2 linked regions of the Drosophila melanogaster genome follow. The protein of the gene in region 2 interacts with the protein of the main gene of each other region in a pairwise test. Each region holds a gene or a part of one and is shown on either strand. Other genes may lie near its edges.

Region 1 (7,207 bases), on a different chromosome or scaffold from region 2:
CGTTTTTGGATTTTCCATAGGGCTCTGGCATTTATTTCATTGCCGAATCGCACGTTCATTGGGGATGCTGGAAACAGCAGCAGAATTCAAAGCATTTCGCACCACATATTCCTTTTGACACCCACTTTAATATTTATGGCCATGGACGCAGGCGGAACACCCGTAGCCACTCCTGATTCCGCAAACAGCCGTTCCTTCCCATGAAGCTTCACTGTTTTGTTTCAAGCAATTTAACAGCTTTTGGGTAAAATAACAAGCCCGCCAAGCCAACCAGCCAACCAACCAACTAGCACACACACACACACACACACACATCACATCACAACAAACAAACTTCGCACATTCCGGGCAGCAAAAAGTCAGGCCCAACAATGCGCCACTAGAAGCACCCGTTCAATCTGCATCCCCCAGATCTCGCATGGCCTTGGGAAACTAGAGGGGAGATGCAGATGCGGATGCAGGGGACTGGAGACGGGCACCACGAATCGGGATTCAGGATTCAGGACCCGGGAACAGCGAACAGCGTACGGAGACAGACGTTAAGGGCAGGGTACTGCATATTTTTGCAACACAAAATAAACCGCAACAGCAGCAATTTGCGTCGGTTGTTAGTTTGGAGAGTTGCTTAAAATTTACATGGCGCTGTCCACGCACACATGACTAGACAGCCGATCTATGGACTATATGAACCACTATGGAGTATGGAGTATGTGTGCAGTCGACGGAGGGCGAGGATGCGGATGCGGCTGCATATGCATATGCATGTGTGTGGCCACAGAGGACATTGCTGCGCCATAACTGAATAAAGTCCATTTTTAAACAATTACCTTTAGAAGTGCTTTTATTTCAGCGGAAGTTGCTGGCGAACCCGAAAAGTAGCTACGCCACGAAACATCCCTACACATAGTCGATGGAATTATGCAGTTCCCGGAGGTGTGTATTGAAGATTCTCGATTAACAGTCATTAAAGCGGAACGGATGGGATTTACATTCCTGGGCAAACGCTTGTCGAGCCATCAGATTCTATCCCATACCGCAATCAATCAAATCCCATCTAGGCACACATTCCGTCACATAGGGGAGCAATCAGGAGCACACCTTCACTTCTGCCACATGCAGACCACATGATCATCTTGTGCACTGAAAGAAAGCAGGCAAAAATGGGTCATTTTAATAAATATCAAAAGAATCTGATACTAGCTAAGCCAATCTAATTTGCAGTAATGAGATAGGAGATCATACGTTCTAAAACTGTCATTAAAGTTAGATCAAACTAGAGAAAAGGTTACGCCTATCAGATATCCATTGATTCGTGAATATGTTACTCTACATTATGTTCGCCGTGTGAATTGCACTTGCAAATCAAGCGCAAGTTTTGTGGTGCAAGGCACACGGCGTTCTTCGAAGGCAAACTTCGCCCCCACCACTTCAGCGGCATCAGGAGTCAGGTTCGTGAGTGGGCCACCACGGCGGATACGTGATGTGCCTGTGCAACAAACAGGAACTATGTATAATAATTGTGAGCGAAGGACACACGGAGTTTAGCAAGAAGTGCTCGCTTTTATTTGTTGAGTGCCTTTCAAGGTTGTCGTCTCGCTTAGAGATCCCAGACAGCGCTTTCCACTTATAAAGGTACTTCCCCCCTCCCCAAAAAAAAAAAAGCAAAAAAAAAGGTCGAAAAGAGTTGCATGCAATCACCAGTTGCAAGATGAGAAACATTAAACGGAAAATACGTTGTGATGGGACCTCAGTGCACTGAAGCGGGGTTACGCATGCGTAACACAACAGCCACGCCCACCGCCCAGCATTTTGTGGCAGAAACACTCCAACTCCAACTCCAACATTGAATTATGAAATGTGAAAACTGTGTTAAATAAGTAAACAGGGGATGCGTTTGTGCAGCACAAGTCCTGCTGAAAAATAGACACTGCCAAGTCACGTAGCCACGAACTGAATTTCATATTTCATGGGGCAGCCCAGCCGCCCAACCGAGTGGAAAAAAAAACAACGACCATTTAGGCAACCATCCACACCCACATACCAGCTCCACTTTTCGATGCTCATACCCAAAAGGACGCCCCATTCCAGCAGGACTTCGTGCAGCAGTTGCAATATTTGATCTAAAATATGTATGCTCGGGCGGAAATTGTTTTTGTGTTAAATGGCGGAAGCGACGGGGCATTGTAATTAAAATTTGCTTAAAACTTAATGGCAAGTATTTAATATACAATTGGAATTTACCAAAACGAATAGCATGTGGAACTGCTCGAGAATCGCTTTCGTAATTAAAGTTGAGGTGGAATAGCTGCGATTGTGGATAATTATATATGCAGTTTTTTACCTTTGATCTGTGGCGCGGTGGAAAAAAACAAAAAGACCATCAGCTACCGTACGCATTCAACGTATGCATTGCATTTTCCGAACAACTTTTCACTTTTTTCCTATTGCAAGCTGAAAATATAACACCACCCCTTCCCCCCCCCCCATCCTTTTGGCCAGAAGCAATCCCCACCATTGGCAACCCGGATTTTCCGCCCCTGCAGCTGCTGCCCTTTGACCCTCAACACTCGCACCGTTTTGCGTATGTGCATGCCTCAAATAGTTGCACCACACATTAAATTTCCGGTCGGGCGTCCGTTCCTTAAATGCAGAAGGAAATGCAATAAACGCCAAACTAAAAGCCACGCCAAAAATGTACAAAAATTACGGCTGGCGAAGCCAAAGCAAAAGGGGCATAATGGGTGGGTCCATGCCAGGGGATGGGGTCATGGAAAATGCCATCATGGCCAAAGAAAAATGCCGAAAATGAAATGACGCTAAAAGTATCGCAATAAAAACGCATTAAAATGCCTCACCAGGGAGTAAATAATTTCTGTTGCTCCAATCGCAGACATCGATTTGACTTTGTCGTCATGTACAGGGTAAGAAACGCTTTCCAAGATCAAGGACGAAATGTGATTATAAACCCAGAGGTATAATTAAAAAGTTTTTTATCTCAGAAATGTCAAAAAATTGTATATGCGAGGTTAAAGGTATCTTAAAATATGCTACGAGTATAGCACTATTTGAAACATCTTTTCAAGTGCTTTCAACATAAAGATGCAATAGTTTTGCAATGCATCAGTTATTGAAATGCAATAAGTTCGTATTTTTTTTTAAGTGTCCCTCGTAGTCGAATGTATTGAAATACAATCGATGCTGAACAATTAGGCGCCGATTCGGAGGGACTATAGTCTGTAGTCTGGGAATAATATTTTTATGGCCAGTGGCGCGCATAAATCCCGTCCAGCCGGCGTGTAATTCAAAATGGACAGAGGAACGTGCGACGGGAACTTGGTAATTCCCGGCAGGATATCGACTGGTTGCATAATTTATCGTCCTGCTTGATTTGAGTGCATAAAGTCGCTGCCCAACGCCTTGGCCTCAAACTCTCAAGTTTGCTCCTCAAAATCTGCTCAATGAGCCGAAGATGCAGAGCATTTTGTAAGGCGATGCGCTTTTAATGTGTTTATTGACTTGGCTTGGCCAACGGGTTGGCTCGATGATGGGCGGGAGATTAGGCCAATCCATCAAATGCTATAAAGTTAATTAAACAAGATGCTGCCGAAGGAGTCGAGAAATTGGGTCAAGCTGCATGCACCTTGCGCTTGCTAAATGCATTTTGCATATTTATTGCAGTAAAAATTGAAATAAATTCCAACTACGATTGAATGGCATAGTGAAGTGTGCTTGTCAATTATAAGTGTTAATACATATATTTGTAGATATGTTTGTGTGTGTGTGCTGTAATCCTTTTCCCCGAGCAGTAATTGCATATGAAACATGCATTTTCACTTAAAATGGCATGAAACTAATCTCCTTTTGCAGGAAGTGGGCGGGTATGCATACTATATTAAATAGTATTTTGCGAACTGTTGTTCTCGAAGGACGCTGTCTGGCTTTCAGCAAAATCTACTTTATTCGAACAACAGTGCAAAAAACTCAATAATACTCCATTGAATGCGTATATTAAAAATGCAGCAGAAACTTAATTAAATTTCCCAACTGAGTGAGTGGCTAGAAACACGTACAATCAGAGCCATTCGGCCACACAAACTTCAATTGCAAATTACAGAAGCCGCAAACAAAGACAATAGAAATTTTAATAATTCCAGAACATACAGCTTGAATGAAATTAATTAAGAATATAGTCGATTGTGAGTTCTGAAAGAATCAATCGGATTTAATGATTTAATAACAAGTTACTTTAAAGGCCGAAAAACTGCTGGTGCAAATGTATCAATTTTTTTAGCCTTTTAGCAGTTTTTTCGTCATTTTACCATCAATACTCACATAAAAAACCTAATTTTCGAAACATAAGCTCGAAATAGAGTTGACAAATATGTCTAAATATTTTAAGTACCCGTTAACAACGAACATATAGACTATATATTTAGGAATGTGTGATAAAACTAAAAGTTAAGAAAACATATTTGACGAAAATTGCCGGAATCTATGTGCCATTTCGTTGCTTGTTAAGTAAGTCGACCTGATTGGCCGTCTAAAAATCAAAATAGCTGGCTTTTGATGTTTCGCTTCTACAAGTTGTACTCGTTGTACATGAACAACATGACCAGTAGTGGAGTTGCATGGCCGCGGGAGTGGTGCCTGTGCGGAAAACTGCCGCGGGCGGTGCTCCACATCCCGGTGAACCATCGTCTGATCTGCCAGGTGTGCGGATTGGCCAGGCGCCCCCAGGCTGGACTCGATTCCTCCAGCGATAAGGATGCAGATCAGAGCACCGAGGAGCAGAAGACGATTATACCAGAGCCCAGCCACGTGGAGGAGCCCAAAAAAAGCCAAAAGACTCGGGTAAAGGTAACCATTAGGGGCAAGAAGCCGAAAGCCAAGAATTGTTGCCGGACAAATTGCCACAAGTGTGGTGGCTTGGCCAAAGCTGAAGTTGGCCAGGAAAGTACTGAAGCACCCAAAGAGATGAAGTGCAAACGGTACCCGGGGCGTCATGGCTTGCACTCGAAACCGAAGGGAATGATGAGTCGTCGACAGCTGGCGCCCAAAGCACCGCCACCTTCGACGCCGTCGTCATCTCCAACGCTATCGCCATTGCCTTCATCACCGCCATCGCCCACAGCACCACCACCACCACCACCACCTCCGCGTCAAGAATTGGAATCACCACGTTCGGAGATGCCAAGCCTGGTGGCCATGGCCCATAACGTTTTTAATCCAAAAAACAGCCCGCTACAGAACTACAACAATCTATTTGTCAGTAACTTTATACCCTTACAAAGTCCCATTACGGATACCTTCGGGGGAGCTATATCCAAGAGGAGCAGGAACAGCATTCGTCCACCACGCAGCCACAGGAGTCGCCCGCTGCCACCACTTTCCAAAGTCTTAACCAACATCTTGAGCAGCCAGAACTCGACGGATGACAGAGAGATGGGTGGTGGATTGAGTAGCTCCAATTGTAAGGACTCGCAATCGACCGATTCCGAGCTGGCTAGCCAGTTTTGTCCATTTGATCACTATGAAGGTCCATCCGAAGATGCTCTTGTCGTGAATAACGCTCGTTATATGCTTCATCGACCGAAATCACTGCACATCGAACCACGACAGGATTTGCGCAACAATCGCATTGAATCGTTGAACTTTCAGTTGAGCTCTACTAAGGACACAAAGAGTCCAATCGCTGACAATCTATCAGGCATCCTATTCATGGCGGATTCAGTTCGTAAAAATCTTAAGAAAACCATTGATAACATTGGAAACGAATGCCATATTTCAGGTAAAACCAGCCCAGCCAAGAACTTGGCCTCCAAACCGGCAGTTACTCAGCAGAACAATCGGGAAAATAAACCGGAAGCGTTGGAAGACTTCGAAAGATCTTCCATTTTAACCTCAATCATGGACAAAGTTTTCAGCTCACAGGAATCGAAAAGCTCAAATGGAAACTGCGATGATGACAAGATACCAGAATTGGAGGATATTAATAAGCCGATCAACGACATGTTCGTCGAGGACCCTGAATCGGTTTCTTTGAAAAGTAATGTATCAAATGAGCACAGTGTATTTTCTTCAAATAAAACAAACAACTATAATGATTATTCCAAGCCCGTTTCAAAAACACTAAGCATAAGCAATTCCATTTGGGAACGATTTTGTGATAACAAACCCAAATCGACATTATATAAGTGTGCTCGCTGCGGACAACAAAAGCATCGTGAAGATATAGTTGCTAAAATTAAAATAAAAGATAGTAGAATTCCAAAAAAATCCGATGCGAATCAAATATGGCTAAATAAAAAAATAGGATGCGCCATAAAGCAAAAGCTCAATAGCTTAAGATCCTTTTCTGGAGCACAGGAATGTAAAAAACACGAACACGAAGGGCAGAAATCCCTAAAACTAGCAGATCAAGGAGTAATTCCCGAGATTTTTAGAGAAACCCTACGTATGCAAAAACAAAAAGCTACGAATGACAAACCAAAAGAGGAAAATTTAAGACTGCAATCCATAAATACAAACATTCAAAGGAAAGCACAACGAATTTATCAGGATGATTCTTCGGAATCACAGACTCCAATAAAAGATCATAGCACTTCAAAATGTTTAAATCTACAAGAAAAAATAGATCATATCCCACCGAGGGATAACAATCCAGCCAAAGTAAATGATCAATCAAAGATCACTCCTTCCAAGATACACCACGAATGTCTTCAAAAACGACCCAGAATCGCACTTAAAGTTGTGAATTTAAACCAATCTCAAATATCGGATAATAACTTTCAATTACGTAGACATAAGGAGCCATCGTTCAACTGGGGAGTGATACAATTCTGCGAGACTGTATCTCATAGGAGTCTAGTTATCCCCAAAATACTGGTTCCTACTTATGTTGGTGAGTTGGTGAATATCGGTCAAGCCACGAAATGCTATATCAAGGAGAATATTCTTCCGGATGATCCGCCTTCGTCTCTCTTTGAGTTTCGCATCCCTGACATTAGTCCCAACGAGCTGCTATCCTATCGAAGTTCGGATAACATTAGCGGAAGCTGTACTCCAATACCTCATATAGCGAGTCCAAAGGAGCAACCTATAAACCACAAAGACCCGTGTCATTCTGTTGATCCATCTCCGCCAGAAAAATTCGAAAGTCGTAGCACTCTATACGAAAATCTTGAATTGTCGTTCACCACACGAAAAG
Region 2 (7,207 bases):
GTCGCAGTCTTTGGGTCTTCTGGTGTTCTGGTCCTCAACTGCCATGGCCGCCGCCTTTTTGTCAAGTGGGAAAAGTTTTAGTAATTAAATTGTAATTAGGGATGCATCCGCCGCTCTGTGCCGTTTGTGCGTTCAATAACGCGGCTGTCTGTGCCAATTGTCTTGGCGTTTCATCAAGCCCACATTTCAGCGGCAGCCACCGACCGTGCTGATCGCCCCACGACCGGGCTTTCTTTGTGCCCAAGTCGCCATCCGTTTGCCGGTATACCCTGTAAGAGGGTAGTTCCCCCAGTAATTATCCACTTTCCATTTTCAATTGGCGGAACCATAGAAATTCTACATACTAACTGAGAAAATGTAAGGAAACCGTTCTACGATCTAAAAGAAAGAAACCCTTCTGGCAACATTCGACTCTGCTGAAACGTGTTAAAGGGTACCCATTCTTCGGTGACGTAATGTGGCAGGTATCTACGCGTAATTGACAAGACCTAACGACAGGTCCATTGTTCAAATAGCTGCAACTTTTCAGCCATTTTCATTGTAATTATTTTGTATGTGCTGCCTGGGCCTCTTTATGGCTTATCTGCCGGCAATCGTCATGAGCGGTGAGCAGGCCCAAGCCCCAAGTGGGGCTACGATGGCGTTGCAATGGGAGTTGTCGCTGCTCCTAATTACCAGGCGGAAGTGTCTCAGATCTTTCCCTCAACTGGCCGGTTACGGCTTTTGATCAGCCGGGCAAATTGCAGGAGGCAGCCGTAGAAAGGGTTCAGTCCATGGCCAACCTCGCGTCTTCTCTTCCACTTCCACACCGGATGCTGTCTTGGGAAAAAGCAATACAATTTTCGCAAACTGCGGCGCTTAAGTGCAGCTCGGCGATAATCATAATCATCCCGGGCGGCACTCAATGCCAGTAGCAGTTGATCAACCGATCAAATCAGCTGGTGCTGATTAGATGGCTCTGTGGCAACCGAACAACCCAACAGCTCAGCAATCCGGCAATGCGGCAATCTAGAGTGGAGCACGAACCAATTGGCTGATGTACGTGCGGCGCGTAAATTCAATTTCAGTAGCTGATGAACAAAAGCGCAGACCATGGGTTCGCTGATGGATTGCTGGTCAGTGCACTCGGAAAAAATATGACAGCCGCTGTGGGAAGATATTTTAATAGACATTCATGGCCAATATTGTTTTACACCGAAAAATGATGGAAATTGATTTGCAGATATAATAAATAAAGAAATGTTCCGTTCAGGATATTTTTAAATACTCTTAGTTAGTTGTTTGTACAATAATTTGTATCAAGGTGATGTGTTTTCCAAACGAAGATATTATGAGGAATAGTTTTCCCAGTGACTCCCGGCAGTTTCTGTTTTTATTCCGAGTGTGGGATAAATCGGTTTGCGTCTGCGACTTAACGAGAAATCAACGCCGCTAAGCAAATTATGCCGAACGATACGCATGCGCCAAAGCCATCAGACATCAGCCATCAGCTGGAGTCTGAGTTCGAGTTGGAGCAGCAGCTCGCCGCAGCTAGAGCATCATCATATGACCGGGCTGGGGCCTTCGAGTGGATCTGGGTATGGGTATGGGACTGGGACTGGGTCTGGGTCTGGGAAAGGCAATTGCCATCAAAGGCGATGCCGAGCGAGCTGCCAGCCGGCTGGCCTGAAATTGATTTAGCCACCTCGGACGAGCAGGCTGACCTCACTACTGTTTTTACGCCTTAAGCAGAATCTCATCAAGACGTAATGACAACAATTGATCAATCGCTGGCCAGGCTAATGGTTATGATGGGTCTCGTTGGGAAATCAGTTTATATTAAAATGTAATTTGATTGCGGTTGTGCACACAGAGGTGAACGCGGAGTAAGTAATTCTACAGTTTGTGGATATTTTTATGTTGAAGATATTCCAATCATATATAACAAAAAGCTCATATACTCAGGGGTGTTGATAAAACTTGAGAAAAAGCTGATGAAATATCTATTATCTCTGCACTATAATTTTGTTTGTACTTTTTTACATATAGTAAATATGAAGAATATGATTTTTGGTTGTCCACTGGGTTCCGCAGTTTAAAAGCAAAGTCTTCTTCTGTTTGGATTTAGAGGAATATATTTTCTCTTGAAAACTACTCACCCTGCTCTTCGTCAAAGTTTTTGGTGGACAGCTGGAAGAGGGCATCCAAGGGAGTGTCTCCACTTGATTTGCTGGCCCCCTTTGGTTGTTCCTCGGGCGACTTCTTAGGAACCTCCATTCTGTCCTCTTGGGAACGTTTTTCCACTTTTTCCGCCTGGGTGGGACTGCAGCATTCGGTGCTGCCATTGCTGCTGCTTGATCGCTGGGAACGCTCTGAACTGCCGTCCTCGGAGGCAATGATCGCGGGATTCAGGGTCATCTGCCGGAGGAGTTGCGCCTGTGCCTGGAAGTGCTCCTGGAGCTGGCGCTGGTAGTCCCAGGCCAGTCGCTGCTCATAGCTGTGGAGCAAAGCGGGCGATAAAAATGTATGTAGTGCAGCCGGCGGAGGGCAATTCGGCACCAAGGGTATTTGCAATCTTTCGTTGATCAGAGCCAATGGAGCAGGTACTCCTGGTAAAGCATTGGGAATGGCAATTCTCTCCGGCTTCTTCTCCACACGATCCTCTTCATGCCCTCGCCCCAGGATATCGGCAATGGAAAAGCTCTTGACCCTGACGGGTGATGACTTTTGGCGGTCATGTTCCAGGCTAATAGGACTCCTCAAAAGCCGCAATCGTTTCATATTCAACGATCTCAGAGGCGGTGGACTGGGCGAACCCACCGAAACATCAGAGTTAGCGGGACTGGGAGTTCTTTGCGGCATCTCTAGGTGTATTTTCCTTTGGCCACTCAGCACATCCTGGCTGTATCCTTACGGCTTAGCTCCAAACTCTTTTCTACGGGCGATTAAAAACGCGTCGGCAAAACGCGCGGCTGTCACACGAAAAACGTCGGCACAACGTGCAACACAAACACCAACAACGAAAATGGCTCGTGGCCAGAATGCGATGCTAATGCTGCTCGGCTCTCTGTCTCTCTTTCTTGGCCAAGCTCTCTCAACTGCTTTTTGGGGCCTCCAAACTGGTTGGCACCCATGACGTCACGGACTCGCGCAGCTGCGCAGCTTGTCTAATTGGAAACGCCGCCTCGCTCTCGCCAAGGGGGCGTGCCAGCAGAAAAGAGAGAGATGGAGAGAGGGAGAGCTAACCAGAGGACCAATAGCAGTTGGTCGAGGGCCATACAGACCCCCTCACCCGACCAAAAGTCGCTGTCAACGTGCGAACGTCATTAATTTGTACAATTTGACATGCGCTCTCTTTCCTCCCTCTCTCTCTCTCTCTCATTCTCGCTCTCTCTCTGGGGCGGCACTATTTCCCTCTCTTTCCCGTCGCTTTCCAGGCGACTGACTGCGTTAATTATCGTAATTGTTGGCTCACCCGCTTTTTCGCAGCTCTCTTTTGGCCCACTCAATTGTCATCAATAATGATGTCTCGTTGTACCGTTGGCTTCGACTCCTCATCTATTTTCCACTGGAAAAACAAGCCTCTTCGAATCCGTGTTTCGAGACCTCTGATGCACTGGGAAAAACAGTTCCCCGAACTGACAATCCTTCGTTCAAGAACGTCTTTTTGAAAGAGGTTTATTTGTCATAAATAGATGTGCCTATGAAAAATATTATAGTAATGTAAAAATGTCTTTCTCCCTCAAACTTCCTCAACATAAATTAAAAAGCGAACGAATTCTGCACCTCAAAAGTAATAACCTATAAATGGCACAACATGACAGTTACTTTGCTCTTCACATTTATTACTTGTTAACTTGAGATCGTTGTTAGATCTAATAACTAGCTGCATCTTGTTAGTTAGTTAGTTTCTCTACACACAATTTATGATTATATTATTTTATATTTTCCCATTTATATTTCCATTTGTTTAAGTGCATTTTGCTGGCACACATTCGTTTGTCTTGCCACTTCCCTCGCTTCCCACTCCACAGCTCAACTCAATGCATTTCCAAATTGATTGCAACTTTGGTCCGCTCGTTGTATCACGTATGCGCCCTGTATGCGCCTCGCTTCGTTTGTTTGTCAGTGTCAGTTTTTTATTCAATTTCGCTCCGCTGTTTGTCCTGGTTTTCTTTTTTATTTCTCGCTTTTCCTTGAATTTTGCATGCAAATGTCTATTTAACTGCATTGCGCCCTTTGCCGGTGGGAATGTGACTGAAGAGTCGGCTAAGTGAAATGATGTAACTGGCGAGCCGTAATCGATAATGGGTTCTACACTGCCCTTTGAAAACGAGTATAATTGATTATTTCGAGATGGGAAAAGAAATCAGGGGAAGTGGCAATTTCAACAAATTTGTGTTTGTATCTGTTTATTAAAGCGCGGAGCATCAATTACCAATGATTATTGGGCTCATCAAGGGCTTACAACAAATTGGACTTTTACACTACATAGTATGGGCAAATTAGCTTTTAATGTTTAACGTATAAAATTACAAAATAATAACTTGATCCAGCAAAAGTACACAGGTACCCAGCTGACAAAATGAGTAGCACAGTATGTTAATATAAAATCCAGTTTATTCAGTCTCTTGAAAGGGTGTTGTTTAGATGTATTTTACCCGAACCCTACATCGCAATTTATGACGCTGAATTTGCATAAGGGCCCTTCTCCAATCCCTTCGACTGCCCCCTATTTTGGTGGCAAGATGGCCGCGATGTTTGATTAATGCCTACACTTGACTGACTAAAGTTGACGAGCCAGGGCATTCTCTCCTTTCGCTTGCCTTGGAAGTGAGAAATTGACGGGGCTTGGGAACATTCGCTATCGCTATTGCCTTCATATTCAAAATCAATTATAAAACGACTCTTAATTGGGCGCCTCAATAGACGAGACACGCCCTGTCAATCATAATTAGCCATCGCCCCTAGGAAGCGAACCACTCGAGCCGGCACTCAAATCCATTCCCATTCAACCGATCCGACACGCCTCTAATTCTGCAAATTCATAAGCCAAATGTATCGGCTCTATATCCTTTCATTAGGCGACCCAAGATGGCGGACCCGTGTTCATTTAAACCTCATAAATAGCAAAAGTGTTTATTGTCGCATCTGGCAAGCCCAAATCCCCGGAGAGCTCTCTTCACCACGGTCCTCGTGTATTTGTGTACATTGTCATATTGTCATATTGCCCGGGGCGGGGATGGACGGGGGTTTGAGCCGTGGCTTCTGCCAGGGTGATCGGGGATGTCGGAGCAGGAGTCAGTTGTTAATAAAGTCATTGCCGTTGTGTCAAATTCGTCACGCCCCTTCGGCGACTTCGAGAGTGCTGCTGGCAGTGCATTAATGTCGCCCTTTGTTTTGCCGAGTCGCTCCGATCCGATCCTCACCAGAGCTCGAGATCGAGTTCGCTTCCCGTGGCTGACGATGATGAAGTTGTGCCAGCCAGTTGTCAACAATCAGCGCTCAGCGCTCCCAAAACTGCATGCCAATTATAGCCAGTTCGCAGCTATCCTCAAGCCAACCTCAACCTTTCAGCTGCGCCCGAAAGAAGAAGGAGAATCTGTGACGAATGCGCTTATGGCCAAAGCGATCCTCGCCTTATCATCGAGTAATCTTCGACACTTGGGACAGCTGTCAGCGTTTTGCCAACTCATTATGCAGATTTCGACCACAAATGCGACACGAAAATGTCGAAAACAATTTACTGAACGCGACGAACAACATTTGTCAATGCGGATCGGATCCGTCTGTCTATTAAGACCAGCACCGGAGATCCCTCAACTTAAGTAGTTTGGCGAAGCCGCAAGACCACACAGAGAGAAAATATTACAAGCCGATTTTGTTAAATGAATCTAAATCCTTATCGATCAGGTTGGATATCTAAAATAATTCTACAACAGTTATATGTATCTGTTAAACGAAGCATATCTGTAATTACAATTTCATCTTCGATGTATAAAAGAAAGAGATATAAATCACACAATTTCTCTCTGTGCAGATACGATGAAACTTAGCACGAAGTGACACCAACAACCGACTTTCGAGCTACCGCATAAAAATTATGGCCTGGAATGAAATGCCCCAGCGTTTATCCACAAGATACACACAAAAGTGCCGCGCCCTGCGGCACGGTTGAGAATGGACCTCAACCGAAGTTTGGGGCAGTGGCAATTTGTATATCTTTGTGATAAATCAAAACATTATCAATAATAAAATCGGTAGCCGTTTGCCACTTGGAAGAGTTTGGGGCGAAATTTGTCGGCTTTTTGTTGTGGTCAGAAAACCGAAAATTCGAAAATCCCAAACTTCAAGCATTTTTGAGTGCTAGTGCTCGTGTGTAATTTGTATGCTAATTCAGCATCGGGTTGAATGTCTGATGAAGCTTAATGTCATCCAGAGGTGGATCAAGCCAAAAAGTGTGGAGGGGGGGTCCGACTAAAGTGACATCCATTAACACTTCCCTCTGTTTGTAGGAGCTGTGAATCTTTTGATTTTCCAAATAGCCGTCCGCCGCCTTATCGGTGATGTAGCGGTACAACTGTGGCGGCTGGCGTCAACTTATTGCCATCAAACGTATTAAGTGGGCCCCATAGCATCGAGCTTTGTCCGCGAACGTGTCCGGCGAATTCCGAGCTCCGTTGACGGACACTGAAGAACCTGCTGCTGGAGGCGCCTACGTGTGTGTTCCCTGCGAGATGGGCTAAGTGGCTGATTTTGATGGGTTTTCGGGTGGGAGGGGGATCGAGGGTTCGATCAAGATGGGAATGTGATTGGCTTTGGCGGCTTCAAGCGTGTGATCTTATCGTGATATAAATTAGTCGCTACCAGAGTGGGGAACCACCAAGACTGGAAGATATTCAGCTTGGGTGATTAATAGCGGGTTGAATCAAATCAAATGAAGTGGATTGAGTGTTTATGAAACATATAAAAACTTACTCTTATTATCATAAAATGCTACCCCAATTACGCAATCCTTCTATAAGGAACATATTTCCGAATCTTACTTTTATAAGAATATTTTGTGTTGGTGCCTACAATTTATTGATGTGGAACATTGACTTCTTTAAAAAAAAAAGCCAATGTAATTTCAACCCTTTAAGCCACATTGTTTGGGGCAAATGTTAATGTTGCCTTCCATAATTTACAACTTCATTAGTGCTTAGTAAGATCGCAACGAATCATAAAA

What was found. Proteins that work in one complex are often made in the same cells at the same time.
Region 1: the proteins of lbl (region 2) and CG13131 interact in a two-hybrid assay, tested with the Drosophila melanogaster proteins (one large-scale study listed by BioGRID).

The regions. Positions count from the first base shown.
Region 1 is NT_033779.5:10,014,691-10,021,897, reverse strand, and holds the start of CG13131 (uncharacterized protein), read left to right. Parts: upstream 1-4,434; 5' UTR 4,435-4,566; coding exon 4,567-5,734; intron 5,735-5,788; coding exon 5,789-7,207.
Region 2 is NT_033777.3:21,431,127-21,438,333, forward strand, and holds the start of lbl (ladybird late), read right to left. Parts: upstream 3,008-7,207; 5' UTR 2,842-3,007; coding exon 2,139-2,841; intron 1-2,138.